Arabidopsis thaliana: one gene and its partner. The protein of the gene in region 1 interacts with the protein of each later gene in a pairwise test. Each region holds a gene or a part of one and is shown on either strand. Other genes may lie near its edges.

What was found. Proteins that work in one complex are often made in the same cells at the same time.
Region 2: the proteins of TFIIS (region 1) and AT4G10930 interact in a two-hybrid assay, tested with the Arabidopsis thaliana proteins (one large-scale study listed by BioGRID).

The regions. Positions count from the first base shown.
Region 1 is NC_003071.7:16,132,392-16,136,146, forward strand, and holds the start of TFIIS (transcript elongation factor IIS), read left to right. Parts: upstream 1-2,151; 5' UTR 2,152-2,410; coding exon 2,411-2,575; intron 2,576-2,956; coding exon 2,957-3,755. Other genes in the region: AT2G38550 (Transmembrane proteins 14C), read left to right, coding at 1-29, 276-666, 752-919, 1,280-1,329, 1,419-1,456, 1,721-1,838. UniProt on the Arabidopsis thaliana protein: Necessary for efficient RNA polymerase II transcription elongation past template-encoded arresting sites. Involved in the control of seed dormancy and germination.
Region 2 is NC_003075.7:6,709,482-6,713,236, reverse strand, and holds the start of AT4G10930 (RING/U-box protein), read left to right. Parts: upstream 1-1,988; 5' UTR 1,989-2,204; intron 2,205-2,273; 5' UTR 2,274-2,313; coding exon 2,314-2,376; intron 2,377-2,668; coding exon 2,669-2,754; intron 2,755-2,861; coding exon 2,862-2,952; intron 2,953-3,064; coding exon 3,065-3,114; intron 3,115-3,343; coding exon 3,344-3,431; intron 3,432-3,500; coding exon 3,501-3,610; intron 3,611-3,755. Other genes in the region: AT4G10950 (SGNH hydrolase-type esterase superfamily protein), read left to right, coding at 1-91, 268-395, 489-728, 1,041-1,296, 1,512-1,735.

The DNA.
Region 1 (3,755 bases):
TTGCTTTCGCTGCATCCCACGAGGATTCGGTGAGTAGTGTGGTTGTGCTCAAAACTTCTAATTTCTCTGTTGGGTATCTCGAAATTCAGATGCTTTATCTTGTAAATTGCTTGAGGCTAGAAAAAAATTGGACTTTGGTGAAATTTATTTGATTAAGCAATATAATCTGCCAATTTCAAGTGAGGTGCAATTTGGGGTTTGAAATTATCAAATGATCTGTGATTAGCTAAAGAACATGTTTTGATTATTACCCTTTATCGCCATTGTTCAAATAGGGAGAATCAGGTGTTGAGGTGGGGAAGGAGAAGAGTGATATAGATGTTGAAGATGATACATCTAAGGAAGCATGGAAACAAACTCTTGAGTCTTTTAAAGAGCAGGTATCAAAGATGCAGAGTGTGTCATCGGAGGCATACTCCGTTAACTCCCAAAAGGCGATGACGGTCTTGAAAGAAACTTCTGAACAACTTAGGATTCAAGCGGAAAAGGCGAAAGAAGAGTTGGGTACTAAAGCGAAAGTGGTTAGTGAAGAGGGTAGAGAATATATTTTGAAAGCAGCAGAAGAATCTCCATCAGATGTGAAAGAGATTGTTGAAGCATTTGCCTCCACTGAGGATCTGAAAAATGTGTCCCGAGCGAATGATTTTCATGTTGGAATACCTTATGGTAAACATGTTGTATATCTTGTTCATCTTTTGTAAGCTTTCATTGTTCGTGAGTAACGGGATAACAATGTTTGTATACTTTACAGGTCTACTCTTGCTTGTGGGTGGTTTTATTAACTTCATGGTATCGGGAAGCATTCCGGCCATCAGGTTTGGAGTCATTCTTGGTGGAGCCCTTTTTGCACTGAGCCTGGCAAGTCTAAAGTCTCATAGGAAAGGAGAGTCATCTACAAAGTTCTTAAAAGGACAGATGGGTTAGTAAAGTTTTTCAATCTGTATTAACCCTTTCTCATATCATTCACAAAAGCTAGCCCCAGTTACTGAAATCTAGTTTTAACAACCAGAATTGTGCTTTGATTAGGAACGGCTTTGATAACCCCTCTGATATGCATATTAGCTAACCATGAATGAATTAGTTTAAGTTGCATTATTGATTTGTCTAGAAATGAGTCTTGTTCCAATAGATACTTGTTGAATCCTAGATTTTGAGTTTAGTCAACAAATTAATTTTTCACTAATCTGATTTTTGAGGCTTTCCGACATTCTCCGGTTGAGTATAGATGTAAAGCATGTTTAGTGACGCTTATCTGTTACCGTGTTCTTATGTTCAACAGCTATAGTGGCAATCATATTTTTGAGAGAGTTGCGGTTGCTACTGTCTCAGGTAACTTTCATTGCTCAATGTTATATTTCAAATGGTTTGAAGAATGGCTTTGAATGAAACATAATTCACTCTCCTTTTTCTCTTTATAGAAATCGACGTTCCTAGGTTTTTTTACCACCCTTACAAGGTACACTCTGAAAACCATATCATTAATCATTGTACATTTGCAATTTGATAAATGAAACACGATAGGAAGATGATTGATAGAAGAACCTAAACTAAAATTCAAAGAGATATCTGAATGAAGGAAGATTAGTCATACCTTTTGACCAAACTTCCTGCTAGATTCAAATATTCCACGGGGAAAAGCAAAACACACTTTGCATATAATGGATTAATTAGGATTCTTATCAGAAAGAAGGCTTAAAAGTTTGTTGGATTACTGTTGCAGTGGTGGTGTGCTAGGGTTTTACTTGTACAAGATGGTGGTCAAGAGAGAAAAGGGACCAACCTTAGAAGATGGCGGAGAAGATGAATCAAGCGATGGGTTTGTAAGAAGTGAAGGATAAAGAAAAATGGGGTAAGAGGAAGAAGTGTTGTCGTCAACATCAGCATCATATATGCCAAACTCTTTTGATATCTCTTTTTAAGTTGTGTACAATTTTTGCGATCAATCCTTCTAATTTCCGTTGTATTTGGATTAGTGAGTCGTTTATTAATATCAACAAACCAATAAAAACGAGAATTTTATTTTGTTTGTGAAAAGCCCATCAAACTTTGGCCCAATAAGGGCCTGGGTGAGCCCAAGCTTGATGCAGTAATATCGGGATAAGGAGAAAGAGAGCAGAAGCGTGAATCTAGTAGTATCCATAGACCTAGCCACGTGATCCAAACCGTTGATTCTTCAAGGTTTTAACTGAAACCGTTGATCACTTTGTCTCGGTCGTATAAAATAAATTAAGAACACAGTTTCAGTCCGTAATCTCTATCTATCTTCTTCGTCGTGACTCAAACGAGGTTCCGCCGATTATAATCCTTCTCTCCATACTTGAGAGATTTTGTTGGATTGTTCTTTGTTCTGAGTCGCCTTGGATCTATCGGTGTTGGTGCTTTGTTTTTTGAGCTAGGGATTGTCGGAACGATGGAGAGTGATTTGATTGATTTGTTCGAGGGAGCTAAGAAGGCAGCCGATGCGGCGGCTCTTGACGGTGTTACCTCTTCAGGTCCTGAGGTTTCTCAATGTATCGATGCCCTTAAACAGCTCAAGAAGTTTCCTGTCACATACGATACCCTCGTTGCGACTCAGGTTCGTTTCTGATTATCTTCTCGTAACCCTAAAAAAGATTGATTTATTTTGCATTTAGGAAAAGGTTTATATATGTTGCATTTAGGAGGGTTTTTCTAGGTGTTGATTGCTTAATCTCGTTGCATTGACTTGTGTTGTTGTTACCTTAGATTTTTAATTAGGGTTATTTAATTTCATCTGAAAAAGTTTATAGAAGTTTAAAAAGAGTAACTTTAATTCAATAGATGAAGAAGCTTGAGCTAACTGATTTGTATAATTGACTAATTGTTTGTACGTCCCCGTTGATATTGTTGGAACAAACCAATTTGGACATTATCCTCTGGAATGTTGATAGTGTGTGTATTTGCTTTTGAGAAAGTTATATTCTTTTCTTGCTTCCAGGTGGGAAAGAAGCTGAGGTCTCTTGCAAAACATCCTGTTGAAGATATCAAAAGCGTAGCTACTGATCTGCTTGAGATATGGAAGAAAGTTGTCATTGAAGAGACAGCCAAAGCTAAGAAAACCGAAGGCACTAACGGTTGTAAAGAGGCTAAGGTGAATAAGATGGATGTTGAGAAGCCTTCAAATCCTGCTCCTGTTAAAGTTCAGAAACTTCAGAGGGGTGATTCGGCTAAGAGTATCAAGGTTGAGAGAAAGGAACCTGACAATAAAGTTGTTACCGGTGTCAAGATAGAGAGAAAGGTACCTGACATCAAAGTCACCAATGGAACCAAGATAGATTATCGTGGTCAGGCTGTGAAAGATGAAAAGGTCTCAAAGGACAACCAATCAAGTATGAAAGCTCCAGCTAAAGCAGCTAATGCTCCTCCAAAACTAACTGCAATGCTCAAATGCAATGATCCTGTGCGTGACAAAATCCGTGAGTTGCTTGTGGAGGCGTTGTGCAGGGTTGCTGGAGAAGCTGATGACTATGAGAGAGAGTCAGTAAATGCTAGTGATCCTTTACGTGTTGCTGTCTCAGTGGAATCACTGATGTTTGAGAAATTGGGTCGCTCAACTGGAGCTCAGAAGCTTAAGTACAGATCTATAATGTTCAACCTGAGGGATAGTAACAACCCGGACTTAAGAAGGAGGGTTCTCACTGGGGAGATTTCACCAGAGAAACTCATAACATTGTCTGCCGAAGATATGGCAAGTGACAAGAGGAAACAAGAGAACAACCAGATCAAAGAGAAAGCCC
Region 2 (3,755 bases), on another chromosome or scaffold:
AGAGCAGATCGGCTTCCCTACGGTCGCGATTTCGATACGCATCAACCAACGGGAAGGTTTTGCAATGGAAGAATCCCAGTTGATTATCTAGGTTACAATTCTTCCCCAGTTTCTGGATATTGATTATAGTCCCAGTTGATTCTTAGAAGTGTAAGCGAAAATGTTGACTTCTTGTGTTCGATTCTTTATACAATTGAGAGGAACAAATTCATTGAGGAAATGTTGAATCATTCGTTTTTTGTTGTCCATTGAAAATCTTGTGAACAGCTGATCGTTTAGGCTTACCATTCGTTCCTAGCTATCTTGGACAAACTGGGACTGTTGAAGACATGTTTCAAGGAGTAAACTATGCATCAGCTGGTGCTGGAATCATCTTATCAAGTGGATCTGAATTGGTAATACTCAGTTTTTCAGAGTCTTTTGAGTTCATTTTCTGTATACCATCTTTCAGCTTTTTCAATCCTGTGGGGGAATTTTTGTTGTTGCAGGGCCAGCGGGTTTCATTTGCGATGCAAGTTGAGCAGTTTGTTGATACGTTTCAGCAGATGATACTGAGTATTGGGGAGAAAGCTTCGGAACGTTTAGTGTCAAACTCGGTTTTCTACATATCGATTGGAGTGAATGATTACATACATTTCTACATCAGAAACATCTCCAATGTGCAGAATCTCTATACTCCATGGAATTTTAATCAGTTCTTGGCTTCTAATATGAGACAGGAGCTCAAGGTTAGACCTCTAATCAATCTTTATACGTTTTCTCTTGGTAAAGAGTTTATAGGGGACAGACAAGTATGATTCTGAGTTAGTATAGTTAGTATAAGTGAGACATCTTGATTAGTACACAAAACGTTGCCTTTATGAAGATCAAATCACAACCCTTTTTTCTGTTTTGGATCTCTGGTTTGTATAGTTGTAGAGAGCATAAAGCTCATTAAGCTGCATATTGATAGCCTAAACATGATTGAGTTATAGTAGTTGCCTCTTCATTTAGCTGCATATTGATGGCCTAATAAGAGAAGTATTATGTTTGTTTCACAGACCTTGTACAATGTCAAGGTGAGGAGGATGGTGGTGATGGGACTGCCACCTATTGGCTGTGCACCATACTACATGTGGAAATACAGAAGCCAGAACGGAGAATGTGCAGAAGAAGTGAACAGCATGATCATGGAATCCAACTTTGTCATGAGATACACTGTAGATAAACTCAACCGTGAGCTTCCAGGGGCATCCATTATCTACTGTGACGTGTTCCAAAGCGCTATGGACATTCTCAGGAACCACCAACACTACGGTAAGCACCACTTCTATGTCAATTCTCAATTCACAAAAAGACTGTGACTGGTAACAAGTAACAACATAGCATTATAATCCCATAGCAGTATCTTGGAACTCAAACATAGTCTTCTGAGAGTGATATATAGAGTTTTCTGATCATCTTCAAGTGTGAAAGTAACTTGTCAAGAGTCTTGTTGAATCTTAGTTGTGTGTGTATTGTGGTGTGGACAGGTTTTAATGAGACGACAGATGCGTGTTGTGGGCTAGGGAGGTACAAAGGATGGCTTCCATGCATCTCGCCGGAGATGGCTTGCTCTGACGCCTCCGGTCACCTCTGGTGGGACCAGTTTCATCCTACAGACGCCGTTAACGCCATTCTAGCCGACAATGTATGGAATGGTCGCCACGTGGACATGTGTTACCCTACTAACCTAGAAACTATGCTTCATTCTTAAATCAGCTGAGAGGATAAAAATGTACATAAAAAACATAGTAAATTGTAAATGAACTTTGCAATTTTGATGTTTGGTCCATGGTACATAAAGGAAAACTATAGGTCTTTTATGCTAAAGAAAGAAAGTACGGGGTTAGAGAAGAAAAAGGATAAATGTTTTACAAAGTTGGGCTCAATGTATTTACGTAAATGGCCCACATGAAACAGAAAGTTAAGAGATTCGACCCATAAAAAGCACGTGTGGTTTATAAATGGAAAATTTCATCTTCAGGGAGACGAAGACATAATTTCAATTCTTTTCTCATCAAAGTTTCTAAAACAAAAATCTTGGCCTAAAGAGGTGACGTCATCTCCACCCTCTCGTAATTTTTCCAATTTTGCCCTTGGAAGCTGCTTCGCCTTTTTTTTCAATTTCATCAAGGGTTCTGAGATTTTTTTCTCTCAGCTTCTTCGTAGGTTTTTGATCCGAGGTAGGTAGGCTTTGGGTTTACAAAAATTTCGCCTCGATTTTTTGTTCTCACGCGTCGTTCTTGTTACAGGAAATCGATTTCATCTCTGATCATCTTTGTGACGAAGGAAATGGAGCTCGATTTTGACGCTAGTAACTTGGTTGAAGATGAAGCTGTTGAAGTTGAACATAATGTTAGTGTAAAATTGTACTTTCTGGGCTATTTTTCTTTTGGTTGAACTAATCATGGGTTTACCTTTTTCATTTCGAGCCTGGAGCTTTAAAACTTGTAATTTCCGGTGAAAATGGTTGTTTATGTAGCTTTATAGTTAGAATCATGAACATAAGTTGCTATGTCAACCATTTCATTTAGTTTGTGTCACGTTTCCTGGAACATATGTGGTTTTTAATCTCAAGGATGAGATTTTAATAAACTGTGTTTGTGCATTATTGCTTCTCAGTGTTGATTTTAATTTCTTTGAACAGGGTATGACTGAAATTGAAGGGGAAAGATGTGGAATTTGCATGGATATAATTATTGATAGAGGCGTTCTTGATTGCTGTCAGCACTGGTAAAAGCTTGTTTTCGCTTTTCATTGTCTTTAAATATTGCAAAGTTGCTATGGGTGTTTGTTAAGGAGCAGTCTGGTAATTTGTGTCTATGTCTGTTAAATTTCAGGTTCTGCTTTGAATGCATTGATAATTGGTCTACGATTATGAACCTCTGCCCTCTATGTCAGAGAGAGTTTCAGTTGATTACATGTGTCCCTGTAAGATGTCTCATATTTGTTTTTTGTTTTGTTTTATCTGAACATTTGTCATGATTTTTGTAAGTAGAACTTTTGAGTTTAGGAATAATGAGTTTTTGTTTTGATTATGAAGGTGTTTGATTCAGGTGAAAGCAGCAAGGTCGATGAGGATTTGGTATCAGGGTACTATTTTTTTCCTTGTGTTTGTTGTTGTGATAAAGTTTGCTTGCCTGAACTATCTGAGCGGTCTCTTTGTCCTCAATTATTTGTGGCCTATAATGATAAATTTATATTAAGTGGCATAGTATAATCAAGTGATTTAAAATGTGATAGATGTCATGTGTACCATATGTTTCTGTATTTGCTAAAAACTGTTGTGATCTGCTGACGTTAAACTAAGCAATACATGCAGAGATGAAGATTGCTGCATTGAGGAGGAGACTGATGTCGTCTCTTCTCCGTCACACTATATTGACGATACACACTATATTGATGAAAATGTAAGTATATCATATATGGGTTTTCCTAGTTACTACAAAGTACATTAAGCTTTCCTAATCATTTTGTAGGCAGTTGTCTGTTTAGATGGAGATCTTTGCAAGATTCGTAACACTTTCAGTTACATTGAAGGGGATTCAAACCTTGATACATCAATTGCTTGTGATTCGTGTGATATGTGGTAACTATTATTACCTGTTGACTTTATCTATGGTTTTTTTTTTTGTACATTGTCGTGATTGTTGTTTTTACCTCTTTTTTCTATCACTAATTCATTGCTGGTGAACTTCTGGAGCTTGCCTTGTTGTTACAGTGCCATAATGTTT